Linked DNA regions of Schizosaccharomyces pombe. The gene in region 4 interacts genetically with the main gene of each other region. Each region holds a gene or a part of one and is shown on either strand. Other genes may lie near its edges. The genes, in order: myo1, bbc1, vrp1 and sla1.

What was found.
Region 1: of sla1 (region 4) and myo1, changing one suppresses a phenotype caused by changing the other (phenotypic suppression), as found in Schizosaccharomyces pombe (one study listed by BioGRID).
Region 2: of sla1 (region 4) and bbc1, changing one enhances a phenotype caused by changing the other (phenotypic enhancement), as found in Schizosaccharomyces pombe (one study listed by BioGRID).
Region 3: of sla1 (region 4) and vrp1, changing one suppresses a phenotype caused by changing the other (phenotypic suppression), as found in Schizosaccharomyces pombe (one study listed by BioGRID).

The regions. Positions count from the first base shown.
Region 1 is NC_003423.3:1,023,463-1,029,806, reverse strand, and holds myo1 (myosin I myo1), read left to right. Parts: upstream 1-1,833; 5' UTR 1,834-1,876; coding exon 1,877-1,879; intron 1,880-1,923; coding exon 1,924-5,574; 3' UTR 5,575-5,844; downstream 5,845-6,344. Other genes in the region: coatomer beta subunit Sec26, read left to right, coding at 1-691; monooxygenase Coq6, read right to left, coding at 5,952-6,344. UniProt on the Schizosaccharomyces pombe protein: Type-I myosin implicated in the organization of the actin cytoskeleton. Required for proper actin cytoskeleton polarization.
Region 2 is NC_003424.3:4,104,783-4,112,555, forward strand, and holds bbc1 (SH3 domain-containing protein), read left to right. Parts: upstream 1-1,865; 5' UTR 1,866-2,044; coding exon 2,045-6,880; 3' UTR 6,881-7,262; downstream 7,263-7,773. Other genes in the region: RNA polymerase II CTD phosphatase Rtr1, read right to left, coding at 334-927.
Region 3 is NC_003423.3:3,053,248-3,059,328, reverse strand, and holds vrp1 (verprolin), read right to left. Parts: upstream 4,065-6,081; 5' UTR 3,855-4,064; coding exon 3,056-3,854; intron 3,004-3,055; coding exon 2,873-3,003; 3' UTR 2,570-2,872; coding exon of another isoform or gene 1,269-2,569; intron 1,254-1,268; 3' UTR 1,112-1,253; coding exon of another isoform or gene 999-1,111; 3' UTR 938-998; coding exon of another isoform or gene 873-937; 3' UTR 526-872; downstream 1-525. Other genes in the region: rbd1 (rhomboid protease), read right to left, coding at 1-197; transcription factor TFIIIB subunit Brf1, read left to right, coding at 873-937, 999-1,111, 1,269-2,569; RNA polymerase II-associated Paf1 complex protein Leo1, read left to right, coding at 4,245-4,435, 4,626-5,724; SPOM_SPBC13E7.07 (uncharacterized protein), read right to left, coding at 5,997-6,081.
Region 4 is NC_003424.3:1,381,876-1,385,352, forward strand, and holds sla1 (La-motif domain-containing protein), read right to left. Parts: upstream 1,674-3,477; 5' UTR 1,639-1,673; coding exon 1,425-1,638; exon of another isoform or gene 1,350-1,424; coding exon 667-1,349; 3' UTR 533-666; downstream 1-532. Other genes in the region: disulfide relay system thiol oxidase subunit Mia40, read right to left, coding at 2,202-2,848, 2,917-3,211.

The DNA.
Region 1 (6,344 bases), on a different chromosome or scaffold from region 4:
TAAATTAGATCATATCGTACAATTAGCCGGTTTTACAGATCCTGTTTACTGTGAGGCATATGTGAAGATACAACAATTTGATATTATTCTAGACATATTATTGGTTAATCGAACGGATACCACGTTACAGAATCTCTCTGTTGATTTGGCTACGTTGGGAGATCTTAAGGTTGTAGAGCGTCCACCACCCATGAATTTAGGACCTCATGCCTTTAAATCTGTTCAGGCTACGGTAAAGGTATCTTCAACGGAGTCTGCAGTAATCTTTGGAAATATCGTGTATGGTGGTAAAGCATCCGACGAAGACAAAATTGTTGTTTTGAATGGCATTCCAGTCAACATTATTGATTATATAAAACCCGCATTCATTCCCGAATCTCAATTCCGTAGCATGTGGACGGAATTTGAATGGGAAAACAAGGTCGATATTTCTTCCAACGAAGACATTAGTCTGTACGATTTCTTACATAAAATAATGAAGAAAACCAATATGAACTGTCTTACTCCAGACGCGTCTCTGCGTGGTGACTGTGGTTTTTTGAGTGCTAATTTGTACGCCTGCAGTATTTTTGGGGAAGACGCACTTATGAGTCTTAGCGTTGAAAAATCCGTCTCCGGTCCTATCTCAGGACATGTTCGCATTCGTTCAAAAACTCAAGGCATTGCCCTTAGCTTGGGTGCATTTGTTTAGAGTAGAATTATATAAGGAATGTTATCCACTCTTTAAATTTCTTGATGGATTAAATTCACAATGGGAAAGCTGTTATGGATGCTGATTTAGTAGGTATATCATGTGTCTAATATTTCGCTAAATCGATATCTGATACGCTGTTTTATTACTCTTGTTGTAAATACCTTTCCTGCCGTTCTTTATTTAGCTCCTTATGATATTTCTACGATTTCGCAATTAAAAGGAGCCTGCCTTGTCATGTTCTCACTACTTGATATCCTGACATTACTAAAGTTGTGTACCTTGTATTTCTCTGTAACAGGCAAGTAGATTAGCTTTCATCTCGTGCATTTAGTTTGGTATTATATATAAACCCCGTTATTTCAATTAATTATGGCACTCACAAACGTTGTCTATAAATCACTGTTTGTATTCTTTTATAAATGATATAAACAGATGATTATGTTTAAGTTACTGCAAATCATATAGCTTCTCTCATATTGTGTTACATCCTAATATCTGTAATAAGTTAATTGTCATAGAATATACTCAAGGTCAATACGAGAACTACAGTTGTATTTGCTGGGGAATTCAACCTTTTATGTCGCGTTATAATAATCTGCGGCTGCTTTGGTTCTTGAAACGGCGATAGCCGTTATATCTAAAATACTTCAAAACTTCTCGCTTTATGAAAGGTATCTTCGACTTAAAATATTCATAATTGAAAATTCATGTTCATTTAATTCATCTTATCGACTACATGAACACACAATAATCAAATCAAGTATTAACTAATTCAAGCGCGTTATGTTTATCACTTCATCATAATTAGTCGCAAATTTCATACCTTTAGTGTGTTCGTTACCTTACCTAATGAAGTTACCCTAAAACACATTTGGATAAGTTTCGTTCGAGTATGTTACATAACAAGCCTCTTTCGGCTAGGTAATTGTTTTAATGTCAATACCAAAAATGGATGAAGCAAACGACAGAAAGCTAAAGTATATTCAATTTTCAGCTAAAGTACAATTTTAATAATTGGGGTCTGAAGTTTCGAACGGTCTTTGGCAATATTGACCTAGAAACTCATATTTCGCTCATTTTAACGATCCGTAACGCAATTATCTCAGTATTAGAAGAAACCTACACGTAAGTGCGGACTTGTCGTTAACCTATCTCTTGTTCGGCCATAAGTGAATAGATTTTATGGTAAGTAAATATGCATGCCGAATGTTAGCTAATTAATAAATTAGGCCATCCTTAAGAGAACAAACCGCGCGAAAGCTGCGACTGCAGCTGCTCCCAATAGCACTGGGAAAAGCAATGGTATTAAAAAGGCTGTTTATACCAGCACACGCAAAAAGACTGTGGGTGTTGATGATTTAACCCTACTTTCGAAAATTACAGATGAGGAAATTAACAAAAACTTGGAACTGAGATTTCGCAATGGAGAGATTTATACATATATTGGACATGTGTTGATTTCTGTAAATCCATTTCGAGACCTGGGTATTTATACGATGGATATTTTGAAATCATATCAAGGAAAAAACCGTTTGGAAACGAGCCCTCACGTTTATGCAATTGCTGAGAACGCTTACTATCAAATGAAGTCTTATCATGAGAATCAATGTATTATCATTTCTGGTGAATCGGGTGCTGGTAAGACTGAGGCTGCAAAAAGGATCATGCAATATATTACACATGTTTCAAAGTCCGTTGGCACTGAAATTGAAAGAGTTTCCGAAATTATTTTAGCTACCAATCCTTTATTGGAAAGTTTTGGTTGTGCAAAAACTCTTCGCAATAATAATTCTTCTCGTCATGGAAAGTATTTAGAAATGATTTTTAATTCCGGAGGTGTTCCTGTCGGCGCTAAAATTACGAACTACTTATTAGAAAAGAACCGAATTGTTAATCAAGTTCGCAATGAGCGTAATTTCCATATTTTCTATCAATTCACCAAGAGCGCTCCTCAGAAATATCGTGATACATATGGCATTCAAGGTCCGGAGAATTATGTTTACACTTCTGCTTGTCAATGTTTGTCGGTTGATGGGATTTCAGATGAGAAGGACTTCCAAGGAACGATGAACGCCATGAAGGTTATTGGTATCACCGAGCCGGAGCAAGATGAAATATTTAGGATGCTTTCTATCATCCTTTGGTTAGGAAATATTCAATTTCAAGAAGGCCAAGATGGTGGTAGCGTGATTTCTGACAAGAGCATCACCGAATTTTTAGGCTATTTGATCGGTGTTCCTGTTGCGGCTATTGAGCGTGCCTTGACAATTCGTATTATGCAAACTCAGCATGGTGCAAGGCGCGGATCTGTATATGAAGTCCCCTTAAATCCAACACAAGCTTTGGCTGTTCGTGATGCTTTGTCTATGGCGATTTATAACTGTCTTTTTGATTGGATTGTCGAACGTGTCAACAAAGCTTTGGTCACATCAGACAACAGCGTTTCCAATTCGATTGGTATTTTAGATATTTACGGCTTTGAAATCTTTGAAAACAACTCTTTTGAACAATTGTGCATTAACTATGTTAATGAAAAATTGCAACAAATTTTTATAGAACTTACTTTGAAAACTGAACAGGAAGAATACGTGCGTGAGCAAATTGCTTGGACTCCTATCAAATATTTCAACAATAAAGTTGTATGTGATTTGATTGAATCCAAACGACCTCCTGGTCTTTTCGCAGCAATGAACGACGCTATCGCTACCGCTCATGCTGACTCTGCTGCGGCGGATAGTGCTTTTGCTCAGCGGTTAAACTTTTTATCCTCCAATCCACATTTTGAACAGAGACAAAATCAATTTATAGTCAAACATTACGCTGGTGATGTAACCTACAGCATTACAGGAATGACCGATAAGAATAAGGATCAGTTAGCAACTGATATTCTTAACCTTATTCATTCTTCCAACAACGAGTTCATGAAATCTATTTTCCCAGTGGCTGAAGAGAGTAACTCCCGTCGTCGTCCTCCTACAGCTGGTGATCGTATCAAAACTTCTGCTAATGATTTAGTAGAGACTCTTATGAAATGTCAACCATCGTATATACGTACGATTAAACCCAATCAGACTAAGTCGCCTAACGATTACGATCAGCAGATGGTTTTACATCAAATCAAATATTTAGGTTTGCAAGAAAACATTCGTATTCGTCGTGCTGGTTTTGCTTATCGTCAAGCTTTCGATACGTTTGCTCAGCGTTTTGCAGTTCTTAGTGGTAAAACCAGTTATGCAGGAGAATACACTTGGCAGGGTGATGATAAGTCTGCTTGCGAACAGATTTTGAAAGATACCAATATTCCTTCATCTGAATACCAAATGGGTACTAGCAAAGTTTTCATTAAAAATCCGGAGACCTTATTCGCGCTCGAAGACATGCGTGATAAGTTTTGGGATACAATGGCAACCCGTATACAACGTGCTTGGCGTTCTTATGTTAGAAGAAGATCTGAAGCTGCTGCTTGTATTCAGAAGTTGTGGAATAGGAACAAAGTTAACATGGAACTTGAACGTGTTCGTAATGAGGGTACTAAACTTTTGCAAGGTAAAAAGCAACGCAGAAGATATAGTATTTTGGGATCCCGTAAGTTTTATGGAGATTATCTATCAGCTTCAAAGCCTAATGGTACTCTATGGAACACATGCGGCCTCTCTCAAAACGATCACGTAATTTTCTCAATGAGATGTGAGGTCCTTGTTCATAAGCTAGGCCGCACTTCCAAACCTTCTCCTCGTCAACTGGTTCTTACCAAAAAGAATTTATATTTGGTGATTACAAAAATTGTTGACCAAAAGCTCACACAACAGGTGGAGAAGAAGTTCGCTGTATCTTCCATCGATTCTGTTGGTCTTACAAATTTGCAAGATGATTGGGTTGCAATTCGTAATAAGTCCAGCCAAAATGGAGATATGTTTTTGCGATGCTTTTTCAAAACAGAATTTATAACTACCTTAAAGAGAATCAATCGTAATATTCAAGTTATCGTGGGTCCCACCATTCAATACTGCCGAAAGCCTGGCAAGGTACAAACTGTTAAGACGGCAAAAGACGAAACCACTAAGGATTATGACTACTACAAGAGTGGAACTATTCATGTTGGTACTGGCTTGCCTCCTACCAGTAAGAGTAAGCCTTTCCCTCGCTTAGCAACTGGTGGTAGTACAGCAGCTGCTAGAGGGCCTCGCCCAGTTGTGCAGAACAAACCTGCTGCTACAAAGCCCGTATCTATGCCGGCTGCGAAGAGCAAACCTGCTCCTATGGCTAATCCCGTAAGTACTGCTCAACAAACCCAAAATCGTCCCCCTGCTCCTGCTATGCAAGCTCGTCCTAATACAACTCAAGCTGCAGCCCCAGTTACAAGTACGACTACAACTATTAAGCAAGCAACCACTGTTTCTGCTTCTAAACCAGCTCCTTCCACGGTAACTTCTGCAGCTTCTTCTCCAAGCAATATCTCTAAACCCTCTGCTCCAGTTGCTAATAACGTCAGCAAGCCTAGTGCTGTTCCTCCTCCTCCTCCTCCTCCTCCCGCTGAAGTCGAAAAGAAAGACTTGTACTTGGCCTTATATGACTTTGCGGGACGCAGTCCAAATGAAATGACTATCAAGAAAGACGAAATTATAGAAATTGTTCAAAAGGAGCCAAGCGGGTGGTGGCTTGCTTTAAAGAATGGTGCTGAAGGATGGGTTCCCGCAACCTATGTGACAGAATACAAAGGTTCTACACCTCAAACCACCGCTTCTTCGACTAATGTTGCAGCTCAAGCGAATAATAATGCTAGTCCAGCTGAAGTCAACAACTTAGCTGGTTCACTTGCTGATGCCTTGCGCATGCGAGCATCAGCTGTGCGTGGTAGTGATGAAGAAGAAGATTGGTGAGCTTTCATTATGATGTATATATAATACGGCCAGTACATTGCTTGATTCTTAATTTGCAATAATGAATGGCTTGTGACAACTATAGTCTCTCCTATCGCATGTTTTTTAGCTATCAATGAAAGCTTCTAGTATTTGCTTCTTGCATGTTTTATTGTGATAGATTGAGAATACTCTTCGTCGACGACTTTGATTAAGCAAAGCTAAATAGTAATTTAATTGTGAAATATAGTTGATACATTGCATAGCGTATACTTATAAATGGGACAAAAGTGATAGCTTCTGTAATAATATTAAAATCATTATCTTGTTTATTGTTTGAATAAATTAGTCAGCTCCAGTGGTAAAACGTAAATATAGTATAGTAGACTTCGACAATACTAAATTCCATTAGCTACCGTAGAAAGAATGAAGTTTTTCAAGCTAGCACTGCGATCAAATAATGAAAGTCCAAGGGTTCGTACAGAAGTGACCACCGGATTTTCCATTGCGTACAGCTTGTGGAACTTATCAACGACTCCTAGATAAACATGGTTTTTGAAGTAACGGTCACGGAAATACGGTTGGAGTGAAAAAACACTACCAATATCCTGACCGTGCTTGATAGCAAAAGAGAGTGCTGATATTAAAGATTCAACATCCTGAATTCCAGTATTTAATCCCTGTCCAGCTAATGGATGAGTGTTATGAGCAGCGTCCCCGCAAAGGGCAATTCCTTCTTTTACATATTCATCAACATGGGCAAGTCTCAACGGAAATGCCGCCCTAGAACC
Region 2 (7,773 bases), 2.7 Mb from region 4:
CGAAAGGTTCGGTATATAGAATAAGGAAAAGAAATCAAATGCGGAATTATAAATAACGAGAAATAAAGATGCTAAGAGAGAGAAAGAGACAATAAAGATAGAAGGCAATAAGGTGAAATAAATTAGAAAGTGTAAATGGTAAAGGGAATATTGTATCGATCTTTAATAAAAAGTCGAAAACCACAGAAATGTTACTATGCACGCAACTGTAGAATGAAGCAACCTTTCATTCTAGTTCAAACGACGCTAGACACAAGTCGGTGTCTTTTTTGTTCAAAAATATTATACATATTCTGGGGTGAAAAGAAAAAATTTGATAAACTTCCATTTGCTTTATGATTGTTCATTAGCCAAAGGATGTTCAACGATTTCACCAACTTTTGCCTTATAACCCACAGGCAACGCTTGCAGGAGTAAGCGTACATCTTCAATTTTTTTGTTTTCCAACTCTTTACGAAATGCTTCATCTTGACGAGGATCGAGATGTTGTTTCATAGCTTCGCGAGCATCTTCACGTATCCATAATGGTTCGTCGCTCAACTCAACCATATATTGACAACTTTTTAGAAAGCAATCCTTCGAGCAATAATAGTTGAGTCCACCGTAGACCTTCATTCCTGAATCTTCTAATTTATACCTAGTTTGCTGCTTAGGTTCATAAGGACAAACGGGATAACCGCACAGATTGACGAGTTTACGCTCCTTCACCACTTGATCGTAATCACTTTTTCGAAGGTATTTACGAGCTTCCTCTAAAGTTTCTAGGGAAACCGGATCAACCAGCTTTTCAATCCATTCGAGGGCAAAAAAATCATACTGAAGTCGACTGCGTGCTTCATCTATAAGACTCTTCGACCACGTGATCAATTGCTTTTCTTGAGTGCTTTGAGCATTTTTCGGCTTTTTGAGAATTGATTTTTTGTTCATATCTGAATTGGATATATTGGAGTCAGCTGGAAAACAGAAGGTCTTAAAAATCGCTATTAGGCAGATATGAGTCAGTCAAGCATTGGAAGGAGGAATGAGCATCGTAAAAATACTTTAGCGCCGTGCAATTTTTGTTAAAGAGTTCTTGAGTTACGCAATTCATTTACAGCGAACTAAGACAGTGCGTTGGCCTTGGTACTAAAAATTTTGATAGAAATTACCCTCTCAGTTGAGTGTGGACAAAGGAAAAAAAATAAAGAAAAGCATGCGTTGCACCAATCATGTAAAGAAAGTTTTGTAGGTCTCTTTAAGAAAATCATTTTACCGTTAAAAATAATAATGATAAATTTACATCCACCCTATTCATATCTTCCACTAGTAAATAACTGGTCCTTAATCTTAATGATTCATATCCATATCCATACCATACCCCACACCCACACAGTAATCGTAAATATAGCAAACCAACGATGCTGTGGCTTCGTTTTAGGATTGCTAGTGTATCCTTATGTAAAATAGGAAACCAGATCCAATTGCGTAAATATTATTATAACGTTAAATAACAAAAACCAATCAACATTGATAAGCAAAATAATACCCAATAATCTTACAGTGCATTACGCTACCTTTGGCTAGTCGAACGAATCACTGTCAACAAGATGTTACGATTGGAAGGGAATTCCCCAGATCCTTTCCCCACAATGTTCATTCATTGAAAATCGTCTCACATGTAGTCAGTCGCTTCTTCACGTGCGATATTATCATTTGGGTGTTTATTGCTGTTAAGATTGACCAAACTTCTTTGTCTGCACAAATCGCGTGCCCTTTAGGAACCAAAATGACAGTGTACTGGCTTAGATATCCTAATAGAAGAGATTAACGATGACGTTCAGCTTCGCTATCATTTGTATATATTTTTAGTGGTAAAATAAATCGGCGGAGCCTTCATCTTTGGTATCTTGTTTTCTCTTTTTTTGGCTTTTTGTATATCTGTGTTTTAGGAAAAAAGAATCAGTGTATTGTATATTGAATGGTACCATTCTTTTTATACTGGTTCATTGTTTATCTGATCTCTCTTTGTACTTAAAAAAAGTATTAGCGGATCGCAGGCTCCACGATGAGCTCGTTTCCCACAAGAGTGGTTGCACTCTATCCTTATAGAAGCAGCTTCTCCGATGACTTGGAATTTGATCCAGGCCAAGTTATCGACGTCGTCAGTAATCTGGACGGCGACTGGTATACCGGAACATATGTGGACTCGGACGGTAACAGGAAAATTGGCTCCTTTCCAAAGGACTTTACCGAGCCAGCAGAGGATGCTGTGTTTGTAGAACGTGCTAGCGAAATGGCTCTTCATCAACCTACGCCAACTAGTGCTGTTCATTCTCGCAACTCTTCCTTAGGTTATGCTCCTTCTATTACACGTAGCATCAAGTCGATTTCCAACAATACAGAGCATCTTGGTGCCGATACAGAATCATATCTTTCAGCTAATGACTTTATTGACAGTACAAGTGAAGCACTTACGAAGATAGTTGATGTGGATACATTGAGTGCGCCATTCGGTAACGACAGCAACTCGCGTCCACATTCTTTAAAAAATGTGGAAAAATTGCATACATTCTCAGCTCCATATACCATATCTGAAGAGACGCCATCTTGCTCCACTGAGAACGACTCGCTACCACTTACCGCTACTCACACTATTACTGGTGGTGAGGATGCTGCTACCGGTGCTGCTGTAACCAACACCACCACTACCCACATTACTACTTCCACCAACACGTCTACCGTCATCCCCTCTAACCCAAATTCAGTTTTTCTTGTCGATTGTACTCATTCACAGTGCCCAACTGATTTACCAAACATCGCAACTACCCAACACTCTTTAAGGTATCTTGATAACGCATCTGCATCCGCAATAACCGTTTTGGAACGCACTCATCCCGCAGCTTCTTCCACCATGGCTACTGAGTCCTCCCATCAATCTCCGTCTGCGGACTCACAGGCAGAAGAATTATCAAAGAGCCAGCGAGTTGCAAAGGATGACGATCCTTTTGTTGTTTCCAATACTGCGAATTCCGATGAGCCAGCTTCAAGCTCAAAGCCCGCTAAACCCCTTACTGATTTGAATCGAGCCTTTTCTCAGCGCCTTAACTTGGATCCTCAAAAGCCCGGTAAATCACAGGGCGAAATCAGTGAGCAGGAGGAAGATGAATATGACGATGCTGAGTCAGATGAGATGCACAGTCCCTATAGCACTCACGAACCCGAATCTGAACCTGAAGACCAGGATGAACCATCGGAAAAGGATGATGAGAATAAAGATGTAGAGGAAGAACAAGAACAAGAGCAGGAGGAAGAACAAATTGATCCCGAAGAAGCTAAACGAATTGCCCTACGCGAACGAATGGCAAAAATGAGTGGAGGTATTGGTATGCATGTTTTTGGATTGCCTGGTCTAGCTGCACCTATTGGACGGAAAAACACTTTGAGGAGAACTCCTGCCAAATCCTCCGAGGAAGCAAAGAGCACCACTAATGACTCTTCTCCACCAAAAGACTCTTCTTCCACTTCTACTCAACCTACTGAACAATCGAATGCTCAGCAGGCTCCGTCACCGAAGGAGGAGGAGCGTCCACTTCCTTCCGAACCTTCTCAAAACCAACCAGCAGAATACCGTGATACTCCTGATACCCCCCGGAATATAATGCCTTTACCAGGCCTTATGTCTGCCGACCAACCAATAAAGGTCACTGAGCCTTCCAACGATGCAGATAAAGCTATTGTTGCTGAGGGTCCCAATAATGAGGAAGAGACTAAGGGACCAGTAATCCCAGAAACTCAGGAAACTTCCGAACAGCAAGTTCATAAAACTCCTTCTCCGGAGAAGCAAAAAGTGCTTTCTCCTCCTCCAATTATTACTAACTTTGATAAGGAAACACTTGCCTCTAATGAAGCACACGAAGCGGTACCCCAAAAGCCTTCTGCTCCACAAGTCACTCGTCTCATGGCTCCACAAGATAGCTCTTCAGTGGTAACTCCTTCCCCAACTTCTTTGCTGGATCCTGCTCGTGCTGTTCGTAAAGTAATTGATGGAATTGATCCCCCGAAAGAAGCTGGTGCCGGTGCTACAGCTGATGTAGAATCGGCTGCTAACTCACCAATTACGCCTCCTCGCACCTGGCATTCGCCCGATTTTACCTCCAAGTCGTTTGAACCCATAGAGCGCAAACTTCCCAGTCGCATTTCTGAGGTCACTGAGGACAGTATTGACGAGGATAAGCAGAATGAAGTTGACCCTTCCACCAGTGCGCGTGCTCTTCCTCCGCCTGGCTTACGGTTTGGTAAAGTCGACACTTTAGCCAGTCTTGCACATGATGATTTAGATGATTTACCAGCAGTTCCACGTATATTTAGCCCACCTCCTTTGCCAAAGACGCCCTCTGGCGAATTTGGAGATAATGAATTTATGTTCCCAAAAAAGTCAAATCGTGTTCGTGGTCACCAGTCCAGACCTTCAACTGGTTCCCAACTTCGAAATGTTGTTCCTGTTTCTATTGTAACTTCTGGTGGTCGCCCCGCTTTACCCGACGAAATGGCCTCGCCTAGCTCTTCTATCGGTCATCCTTTACCATCTCCTCCTCCAGCGGATTTTAATAGTTTAAATGTGGATTTTTACGAACCTCATAGCTATCTTGAATCTCCTGCTCCCGAACCTCAACCTTCTTATGAGGAAGAAAGTTTTAATGCTACGGTAATACATGCTCCAACTCCTAGTACTGCTACTTTTCAAGGTCATCCTACCATATCAAATGTTGCTACTCCACCTTTGAAGCAAGATGTTACCGAAAGCAAAGCTTCTCCTGTTGCTGATGCCTCAGCAACACATCAATCTAGTACAGGGTTAACTCAAGAAATTACTCAATTAGGCTCAAATATGAGATTACCCACCAAGTTGACACGTCCATCAAACGATGGACGCAAAGCTTCTGGACCAAGGCCTGCTGCTCCTCCCTCTATTCCTCCACCTTTACCAGTAAGCAATATACTATCTTCGCCGACTTCTGAACCTCCAAAGGATCATCCACCCTCGGCGCCTTTGTCGAAACCAGTATCAACTTCACCTGCTGCTCCGCTAGCCAGGGTACCTCCAGTTCCTAAACTTTCGTCTAAAGCACCTCCGGTGCCATTGCCTTCAGCTGATGCTCCACCAATCCCAGTACCTTCTACTGCCCCTCCTGTACCCATACCCACTAGTACTCCACCAGTACCGAAATCTTCTTCTGGAGCTCCATCAGCACCACCACCAGTACCAGCACCTTCATCTGAAATTCCATCAATTCCAGCTCCGTCTGGAGCTCCACCGGTGCCAGCACCTTCTGGAATTCCACCAGTGCCAAAGCCTTCGGTCGCAGCCCCACCGGTACCAAAGCCTTCAGTTGCAGTTCCACCGGTGCCAGCGCCTTCAGGAGCTCCACCAGTTCCAAAGCCTTCAGTTGCAGCTCCACCAGTGCCAGTACCTTCGGGAGCTCCACCAGTTCCAAAGCCTTCAGTTGCAGCTCCACCAGTGCCAGCGCCTTCAGGAGCTCCACCAGTTCCAAAGCCTTCAGTTGCAGCTCCACCAGTGCCAGCACCTTCTTCTGGAATTCCACCAGTACCAAAGCCTGCTGCGGGTGTCCCACCGGTGCCTCCACCAAGTGAAGCTCCACCGGTACCAAAGCCTTCTGTGGGTGTTCCTCCAGTCCCCCCACCATCTACAGCTCCACCGGTGCCGACACCTTCCGCTGGGCTTCCACCAGTACCAGTTCCTACTGCAAAGGCTCCTCCAGTACCTGCACCTTCTTCTGAAGCCCCTTCAGTTTCGACACCAAGATCTTCGGTTCCGTCGCCACACTCGAATGCCTCACCTTCTCCAACTTCTTCTTCTATGGCTTCTGCTGCTCCAGCACGTACTTCAGTTTCAAGGTCGAAATCTAAAGCTGAAAGGCATGAAACATCGACAAGCAGTCGTAAGTCTTCAAAGTCTGGAGAACACCATCATCATCACAATGAAGGACATGCTGATTCATCTTCTACTCGTACGTCATTAGCGCATCAAGACAGTCGTAAATCTCTTCATCGACATCTTTCGCGCTCTTCGAGTAGAGCTAGTAAGAAACCTTCTATTGTCTCTACTACTGGACCTTTTAACGAAAGCTTTTCTGCAAAGCCGGTTGAGCCTTGCGCTTCTGAGAAATGGTGGCTGAATTCTACTGCTGTTCCTAAATCCGTAGTGCAGATGAATGACTCTGTTCTATATATGATAAAAGAAGGAATTACAGGGCAAGATAAAAAATACAAGTCTGTACACATACTGTTCCCTGACTACAGCCAAACAGTCTTGACAGCTACATTCAACCCACATAACCAAAATATTACACAATTATCTCAACTTCAACTAGCTCCACCAGCACAGCCTTCAAAAGCTAGATTAGATGAGGAATATGCTTGTTATGGCTCTACAATTTTGAAAAAAGCCCGAGCTTACCAAGGTAGCATGGTTGGTGATGGTTCTGCATTCACTTTTGTTAATTCCGTTATGTCGATACTGGCGCATAATCTCGAACCTATAAACAAACAGACTTTTGGAGGTGTGATTTACAAGAATGTTGGAAATGTTACTGTGCAACAAATTGGTGAGATTCGCCCAGGTGATATAGTTACATTTGATAAGGCTAAATTTAGTGGACAAAAAGGTACTCTTCGTTCAAAATACTCTCTTGAAGTTGGTAAGCCCATGCATTATGGTATCATATCAGAGTGGGATGTTTCGAAACTGAAGATTAGGGTGTTGGAACAAGGCAGAGAGTCCAAGAAGGTTTCAGTTGCAAGCTACAAATTCGGTGATTTAAAGAGTGGAGAAGTTACTGTGTGGCGTGTAATGCGTCGATCTTGGCTTGGTTGGAATTAATGGTAATTATTTTACTATGGTTTTAAGTTCTTATCATTTTATCACAAATAACTCAAACTTCCTAAAGAGCAGCACTCATTTTTTTAAATTGTTCAATTGCGAAGCAGATTTGAATAGTCCTTAATGATCGTCTGTCAGTATATTCTTTCACTGATATATCTTTGACGATTGGGATTATTTATATCATTTTTTGACGACACGCCCTATGTTTTTAGAAGACTTATATCTCGTGGAAGTTGTTTGCTGAATTATATTCACATATATACCAAAGATTGGGCTATGTGATTCAACTTTTGAAATATATATACACATCTACAGTCATTTTTATAGTATATGCTAATAATCAGTTATATCTAATTAAACAGTTGAAATGCACAATTAACAATGTATGGTAAAAGGATAAGATTTTGTAAGTTATTGAACTGTACTTAAAGACAATTTCGGAAAAAAAAAATCCTTTACAAAATTCTAACTCTTTTTTCAAACGCTTGCGCTTATATAATCAACAAAAAACATTTATTTCGAGGTGAAACCGAAAATAACGGTTAACTGAAATATATACCTAGTCAAGATTAACGAGAGTGACTTTCACTAACACCCAGAGAACAAGGATGTAACATTGCAAACCAAACAAACTTCTTAGAAAACACATTCAGTTCAAGTGTTATGACTGTTCACCAAAATGAACAACCGTCAAGTGCAAAACGCAGTTTAGGGTAAACTAGTAAATAGGGAAACAAATGGAAAGTGTAAGAGTCATTTGAAGCAATAGACCCATTATTGGTACAAGAATTTGATGCCACACAAAGAGAAGTAAGAATAAATAGATTGAAAGATTTTTTAAAGGAGAATCGTATGTCGTTAAGATTATTGCTAGTGGTAGATTGTACTGT
Region 3 (6,081 bases), on a different chromosome or scaffold from region 4:
GAGCTTTTGGGGTAGTTTTTTCTTCTTTTATCGAGATAATTGGCCGTATAAAAGGTGGCAGAACCAACACCAACAGCAAATGTAATCGGTTTCCATAATGGTGTTGGTTTAATATTTTCAATTCTGATCCATGGTCTGTAATAAAACCTTTTTTGTCCAAATTTCCAGAGTAAACTTTGAAAATTCAAACGATTCATCTGCGTATTAAATATATGTGAGAAAAGGTGAGTAAGGACTATGAGGTTGTATGCATAGAAACGCTAGTGTTGCCTAAGATAGAGAAATAAGAATCCGCTTACGCTTCTCACAGTACCTTAAGATCTTTACCAATATTTATTTAACTTCAAGCAATTTAAGTTATTTCTTTATATATTCTGTCTTACTTTTTATTCTCCTAATTACGTTACTTGCATAATCTTATATAAATATATATGCCAAACAATGTTTTTAACAAGTTAATTAACATAAAAAGATTTAATGAACCATATAGTCACGATTCATTAATCATTTGCTAAACTTGCAATGCTCGAGATAAACTAGAGAATTTACTAGTAAAAATTGTTATAATATATATTAAACTAAAAAGTCCAAATACCATATACAGAAGCAAAGTTCAATTTACTATTTTTAATTTTATTTTAACGCTCTTCATTTCCAAACCATTAAAAAAGAACAAAAAAACAAAATAAAATAACAAACAATTAAACCCGATTAAATTCTCTGTAGACCTTTAAAATATATGCTAGTATGCATATTTGCAGTGATATTTCTTTCCCCCCCCCCCACTTAAGTACTCCATGTGGGTTAAACTTAATCTTTGATAAATACCATTTCCCAAACAGCTAACGCCCAAGTGTTTTCAGTTATTCGCCATGGGATGTCCAAATTGCGGTTCAACTACTTTTGAATCTGATACCGCTTCTGGAAATACATATTGGTAAGTTGTTTTTTTTATTATATAATTTTAACGTGGCAATTGACTGCTAACCATTGAATAGTACACAATGCGGTGTTGTCGTCGAGCAAGATGCAATTGTTTCGGAAGTGACATTCGGAGAGGCTTCAACTGGTGCAGCTGTTGTTCAGGGTTCTCTTGTGAGTAATGATCAAAGTAAGTTAGAAGGCAATCATCCAGCAATGCGGTGTTTTACAGTTCTGATGCAGTCACCTTTTTTTGTTCAGTCTGTGTTAAATTTTGGTTTGATCTTTTACTAATAGACACCTCTTCGTCCATATTTTTCATCGACTTATATCTAACACAGCTTTAGCTCATGCTCGGACTTTTGGTGGCCCTTACAGAAATCAAGGATCCGTAGAATCCAGAGAACTTACCATTGCAAACGGACGTCGCCGAATTTCGGCATTGGCAATTGCTTTAAAACTTAACGAACGCCATATCGAAGCAGCAGTTCGCTACTTTACACTGGCAATTAACAACAACTTTATAAAAGGAAGGAGATCGCAATACGTTGTTGCATCCTGTTTGTATATTGTTTGCCGGATATCTAAGACGTCTCATATGTTAATCGATTTTTCTGATATTTTGCAAATTAACGTTTTTAAGCTTGGGTCTACTTTTCTCAAGTTGTGCCGCGTTTTAAGGCCTAATTTACCTCTTTTAGATCCGTCTTTATATATCAGTAGATTTGCTTCTTTACTCGAATTTGGACCGGAAACACATCGTGTCGCAAACGACGCTATCAGATTGGTAGCGCGAATGAATAGAGACTGGATGCAAATTGGTCGTCGGCCAGCTGGAATTTGTGGTGCATGCTTACTCATTGCAGCAAGAATGAATAATTTTCGACGAAGCGTACGAGAAGTGGTTCATGTCGTGAAAGTTGCGGATATCACTATTCAAAAACGCCTTGATGAGTTTAAATTAACTGAGAGCGGTGATCTTTCAATCGCCGACTTTCGAAACATTTGGCTGGAAGGACAGAGCGATCCTCCTAGCTTTACTAAAAATCAAAAGTTTCAACAATACGGTGCTCAAAAAGTTTCAAACATTGATCACACACAAGAATACATGTCCCCTATTAAAAGGACCCCGGATTTTGATGGCAACGAAGTTAAGTCTGAAGAGCTTTCGCAAACAGTAAAAGTTGAATCTCAAGAAACTCCTGTGCATTTGAAGGCCGATGAAAGAGAAATTAGGAAAGAGGTTACTGAAACCCTTAAGGGCGATGAACTTAGAAAGATTTCTCTACAAGTTAACGTTAAATTTTCGGAGGAAGAAGTTACCTTAGAAGACGTTGATGATGATGAAATTGAAGATATTTTGCTTGACAAGGATGAAATATTGACTAAAACTCAAGTTTGGATGGAGTTGAATAAAGATTATTTAGCTGAGGAAGAGGCGAAAAATTTAAAACTCCAAGAAGATTTAAAAAAAGGAATTGTCCGACAACCTCGTAAAAGAAGACGATATCGTCCTAGAGATAGCACTAGTGATGGAATAGCCGATACTGCTGCTGAAAGTGCAAAAGAAATGATGCAACAAAGAGCTTTTTCAAAAAAAATCAACTATGAAGCTTTGGATATGTTATTTGACGAAGAGCAGTCGTAACTTTTTACTAAATTTGGGCAATTGGGAGTTTTTTGGGGCTATTTAAGAACATTCGTTTTTTTGTTGTACGATAATCCTTTTTTATACATTAATTTATTAATTTTAGAGTTTATTTAACGATTTATTTATAAGGATTAATGAATCTTTATAAATAATTTTAATATTCATAAAAAAGGCCGCATGAATTTTTAGTTTTTTTCTATCACTGAGTAATTATTAGTATCCATCTAACGAAAGAAAATTCTGTGTTTAACAACTAAACACTGGTAGTAGATTAATCGTACACAGCTTTAAAAAGATTTGTTAAAATGAAGAGAGATTCAAAGGGACCGTAGTGCCACTACCACCCCGATAAACTTTAGGGACTCCAAGAAAGGGATGAGGAATTGGTAAGTAACTATCATCCTTAAAGTGGAATCTTCCATGATCATCAACTAGAGTTTTGTGTTAATAAAAAAATAATGCTTTTAATGATCGCAAACTTACCACGATTAGGTCGCTGCTGCAAGACGTAAGAAGATGGAGGAACTGGAGGAACAGAAGCTGAAGGAATGGATGGACCTCTATTAGGAAATTTAGGAGATTCTGATGTAACGTTAGGTGCATGTCCTGCTGGTGGAGCAAAAGAAGAAGGGCGTGATGATGTATTAGCAACAGGAGCTTGAGATAGAGGAGGTGGAGGAACTTTAGGTGGCATCGGAGGTACCGCTGAGGGCAATGAAGGAGCTGAAGGAGGAGATTTCACCGGTGCAGCAGGTTGTGCAGGTGGAGGTAGAGACGATGGAATAGGAGGTGCCTTTGAAGGAATAGGTGGAGCAGATGCAGGAGATGGTGGAGGAATTGAAGGTCGAGGGGGCGCACTTGTTGGCGGACGCAACTCAGATTGTGGAGTAGGAGGAGCAGGAGCGGAAGGTGGTGCGGCTGAAGCACTTGACTTTCCAATATGACGAAGCTTAGGCATGCCGCCAGCAAATAAACCTCCTAATGCAGGCATGGAAGGTCTCTCTTCTGCTTGCTGAGTATTATTTGAAGAAGTCGGTAAAGAGGGTGCGCCTGTGGGTACAGGAGGAGCAGCAAAGCTTTTTGGAGTGTTAGATTTACGTTCGCCTACGACACCTCCTCCGACAACGGGAGCCGATCGGTCGTTCGTTGTAGCTTTTTTTAGTTTCTTTCCTTTCTGGATAGAATTGAGCAGAGCTGATCGATCTCCGGTCATTAGAGGGGGGGCCGGAGCAGCAGCAGCAGGCGCTGGTGCTGGAGGAGGAGGCGGTGGTGCAGGTGCCATTTTATAAGAAGGAAGAATTAAAAATCAAAAATAAATCTTAACAAGCTTGAGGTCTGTAATCAAAATAGTAGATAATTCGCCTGTACACCTAACAATACAATAAAAGTAAAAGTTAAATTATCAGATTTTAAATGATTTTACAAAAAATATTCGCTATATACTTTGACAATAATAAATATAACTCAAAATATAAAGTGGAAACACGGGTATGGGTTTTAACTATGAGCTACCCTAAGCTTTCTACCACCACCATGCACTACAAGTAACAGGATTGTACCTTCTAGTGATTATTCAATTTAATGCATCTTAGTACAACACCATACGTATTCTGACCGGAACCAATCTGGAAAGTTTAGACTGGTGAATTTTTGAGGAATTTAAATAGATTTAATGTCGGATTCTAAAGAAGACATCCGCAACGGTCAAGAGGAAGATGATTTGTTTAGTGAGAATGAAGACAATCATACTTCGCAGCAAGATGAACTTATAAATGGCCATATAGAAAACGATAGTGAAACAGCCGTTAGCGATGACGGCTTGTTTTCGAATACAGAAGAGGCTACTGAAGCCCCTGAAGCAGAGTAAGTTGCAGTCTTATAGATGAAGCGAATTGATTCTAGCCGATGGTAGTTCTAAATGTGTATTTATTATACAGCTGCCACAGTGGTGAAAGTAATAAATCGCTTCATGAGGCTTTTTAGTAAAAAATCAAAAATTAGCGTCTTTTACTATAGCAAGCTATTTAAATCTATGCATCCTAACAAATGTTAGTGTTCCTGTAAAGAAAGTCCTTGAAGTCGCTGTTCCCAATTTCAAATCACCAGCTTCTGCTAGTAATGACGTGTTTCATGCTCATATTCCAAATTTCCTTTCTGTGGAACAGACTCCGTACGATCCAGAGCAGTACGCCGCGGAAGCCGAAGCAGATGCAGCTTTATTAGAACACGACGCGCATTGGGGTCAAAGAATAAAACATAAAGTTGATAATACTGTCCGCTGGCGATTGGGGCCGTCTGGAAGCTATCAATCGAATGCGCAAATTGTACAATGGTCTGATGGTTCATATTCACTTCGCATTGGTAACGACATATATGATACCCAAAATAAATTAATATCTCAACCAACTTTTGTTACTGCCTCACATGAAGCACAACATTTACTGAGAGTTCAAACATCCTTCAAAAGCAGTTTTACATTCCTCCCTTCAGCCATTAACACTGCTACAAGATCAAAATTGCCATCTATGCGTCTCACCACAGTCCAGGTTCCTAGTCGAAGCGTACAAGAAATTATTATTGAAAAGGATCCAGAACTACTAAAGCGTCAGGCTGAAAAATATGAGGAGGAACGAAGTCGAGCTCGGCGACGTTTAGAGAAAAGAAAGCAATTGAACAATTATCAGAATGGAACAGGAGAAGAAGAAGAGGATTACTCTTCCTTCTACGGTCCCCGTTCTACTTATAGCGAACAAAATGAAATCATTGACAGTGACCGTATGGATCGTTTAAAACGAATTAAACAAGAAGGAGCTGGTCAATATCGTGGTTATAATAAGGATCTGGAAGAAAATGAAGAAGATGACCTTGGTGACTTTATAGCGGAAGAGGAAGAGGAAGAGGAACAAGAAGAGGAACAAGAAGAAGATGAAGAGGATGAAGAAGAAGTTGGAGCTGGCTCCGATATAAAAGGATTTGATGCGGATAAAGAAGCAAGTGTAGCACGAGCTACTATTAATAAATATGAAGACGATGAGGTAATTCCTAGCGCAGTGGAAACTGACAGATCCGAGACCGTTACAGAGACTTCTGTCGGTGATGGTTCTGTACAAAGAAGAGTGAAGCGTCGGATTGTTGAGAGCGATAGCGAATAAATCCAAACAGCTTGTAATTCAATTTTTGTAAATAGCCAATTTGTTTGTTTGCGAAGTATGGTCTCTGTGTTATTTCGTTGATTTAAAAGATGTTTATTAATTGTACATTATTCTTATATCTTGTCTAATTTTTAACGCAATGGGATTCACATGTACAATAGCGAGAATTGTAGTGAGCAACTATATAAAATAAAACTACTTTTTTTAAAGCAAATATGGCGGATTAGGTGTTGAGATGTATTTCTGTGATCATTAAAGCGTGATATGAGTTCCTACCACAAACTATCATATCGGTTACCTTTGGAAGAGCCTGCTTGACCGTTGTTAATATAAGAGTAAGCAGAACGGCTAGAATTG
Region 4 (3,477 bases):
AAAACAAAGATTCAATTTAATTCTGTTTCAAGTAGCTTAAGCAATGTCTCAGTTATAATTAAGCTATAGGAAGGTCAACTATTTTTGCTTCACTATATTTTGTATTCTGAAGAACATATTGATGTGTAGGATCGATAGCGTAGCCCAGTCAAGCAATCGAGAACTGTAAACCTATGTTGACTGTGCAGTCGGAAATATGTGAAAGACGCATGGTTCTAAGGTTGATATTTTTTTATTTTTACTGTTAAAGTTGATTCTTGTATGGTTGATATCCACCAGAAATATACAAGTTCTTAATTCAGTCAATTCTGATCATTGCAAATTCCACTGAGAACTTCTGAAATGCAAGCTTGGTCGTACTGGTAAAGAAATAGGACTTAATATTAACTCATGTGAAATTTAAAATATTCAGTACGATACATTATAAGTGATGAAGCAAAAAACTATTGCTATTATTCAAAACCTTTAAAATTCGTATAGCAAAACTTATAGCCGAATATTGTTACGATTTAAGCATTAAATTACGAGGTCATATTGTACAAAATAACTGCATGAAACGACTATTTATTCATCCAAAATTCCTAATATAACCAATCCGAAAAAGTTTATTTGTCCAGTGTCTTTGAAGTATTTGTAAAACAAACAAACAAACAAAATTAATCCATTTTACTCCGAAGCGGCCGAAGGCTTCTCTTCAGAAGCGTTAGATGACCTTTGCTTCTTAAATTTTCTTCCTCTGTTACTATATTTACCAGGACGCTGACGATCCATCTCTTTAAAAGCGTCAAAACGTCTGCGTTTGCTGCTAAACTTTGGTGGATCGTTTTTATGTAATTCAGCTTTCATGTCAACATACTCCTTTTTGCTCATTATAGTGAGCTCGTCCTCGCCCCATTTCAAAGGTGCAGTTTTGACTTTCTCAAGAAATTTATTAGCAACATCGGGTTCCTTGAATTCAACAAATACGCTTCCCTTAAATTTTTTATCGTCATCCCTTCTCATACGGACAGCACTAATGGGACCAGCATTTTCTTCAAAGAATTTTTCCAAAGCAATTTGAGTGTCATCTTTTTCATCACCGAAACCTTTGCAGTAGACACTTCTTTCCATGACGCTCTTGTTGTCTACACGAACTAGAGGAATCATACGACGTACTTTTTCGCCAGCTTCATCGACTTCAAGAAGTTCAGGACTCTTGCGAAGAGCATTTACAATGGCTTCCAAAGGCTGAAAACGACGCATACGTTTGAAATTAGCAATTGTTTGAATGGGAACCCATCCATCATTTTTTTGAGAAGTAGTCCATAAAAATTTATCATGGGGTAAGTTGGTGTCCGAAAAATAAAATTCTATTCATACTGTTAGTAACGACCACTCAACACAAAAAAGGTTTTAATCCAACGTAAACAAAGTGTGTAACATACCAACTTGCTTTAAAACTTCAGCTTCATCAAAAGATAAATCTTTTTTTCCATCATCTTCCTTCTTTTCAGTAGTTTCCTCCTTTTTTTCTTCACTAGTAGTATCTTTTTGACTTTCTACTACTTTTCCAGCTTCCTCGGCCTTGGGAACCTCTGAAGAATTCTCCTGCTTAGATGAGATGTCCTTAATTTCTTCCTTCTGTTCTTCAGTTGACATGATGTTAATTATTCGTAGAGAGACAGGCAAAGGGCAAATTTCATAAGAAGTTGGATTCCTCTCCTAGAAGCATTTCTAACCCTACCCTATTATCGAACTGACATTATTTTCCTACTCATGAAGACAATGTTAAAAGTTGGCACTTAAAAAAGAAGTAGTTTATTCATAATAGATTTATAATAGATAGAATAATCCCATGAATTTCCATTGTTTTTTTTTTTGAAAAGATTAACAGAGATTGCTCCTTACAATGTAGCTCTGGATACAATTTAACCATAATGACAAGCAGTAGCTTTTAGTTTTCCTATTTATGATTCTTTACCGACAATTGCAATATAACCTATAATATCAAGATTCCCCATTCGAATTATCATTTAATATCCACTTTATTGTAGAACCGCTAACTATTAAAACCGATGTAAGACATTAATACTTTAAACTTACTCCATTTGTTGGAGTCATTATATGTTCGTTACGAGATCACTATCAAATGCTTTAATTGAATAATTTCAATTTCATATTGTTGAAGGATTTTAAATAGTAAACGGAGCGCCTCGAAAATTTTAAATTTCCTTTATAACTGACATAGGTGTAAGATTAACAATTTCTTTCTCCATGTTCATAACGTCTTCTTCAGGATTAGATGCATTATCGGAGGGTGGAGATTGTGGTTGATTATTTTCGTCAGATGTAGTCGATGGTTTCTCATTAGTTTCGGCGTCTTCCTCTTCAGACTCCCCTACCATATCTTGATAAATTTCGGGGTGTTTTTGAAAACAAGCCTGCATAGCTTGAAATTTGTCAAGACATTCCATACCTTTTGGTTCACTCTTGGAATAAACGAAGCAACTAAAAGCTGCTTTGAATTCTTCTCCACATGGACCATGAGCCATACCTCCAAGACAGGGACAATCCCAGTTAATCTCTCCAGTATCCGGATTAAATGCTGACTCCTCGCTGCTCTCCTCCTCCACTTCCTCAAATTTCCTAGCATATTCATCATCATCTTTACCAGTGGCTATTTGTTCTCGAAGTATATTTCCAGCTGTCTCCCCGCTGGATTTTTCCTTATCAGTTTTCTTCGGTGCACTATTCTCAGTAGCGCTGACCTTGCGGCCTTTCTCGTCAGTCGAAGGTTGTGTTTCACTTGTCATTTTCTTCTCAATGGCATCTTCAATTCGGTGTCGCTGCATATATGGTTCATTATACGCTATATTGTTAGTTAAATTCATATAATCGTACAGAAAAAGATAGCCATTTCAAACATATGATACTTACATTGTGTTTCCGTATGGACATGTTCGCCTACAACAGGATGGTCATTATCTTGACTCGATGATGCATTTGAAGTGTTTTTTCCAAGTAAATATCCAGCAGTCAAAGAAGCAGCTGCAACGCCAGATACAATAGGCAAAAAACGGCCTTTCCATACATCAGTTTTGGTTGCAGTACCAAATTTTCGACAAATGCCTGCTTGAAATCCATTTCTCTGCAGTAGAGACCTTCTCATATTATTGTAACCGTTAATCCTTATACATTTTGGAAATCTGAAAAGTAAGTTTTTAGCAAACATGGTTTTTTTGATTTATGGGAAGTTGAGCTCTGAACTTCTAATGTCTGCGTAATGGTCAGAAAGCGGCGACGATCTTACAAGAACGTAACTTTGTCATTCATTCTAAGTTTATATAAGTTTGCATGTTTTTTAAATCAGATTTAAGTAAATAGGTATTCACAAATGTAAGACAAGCAAGACTGGCAGGATTTACGAGATTACTAAGAAATGCCTGAATGACTAATTTCATAATAGAATTAAACTAGCGACATAATAGTTTCACAAGC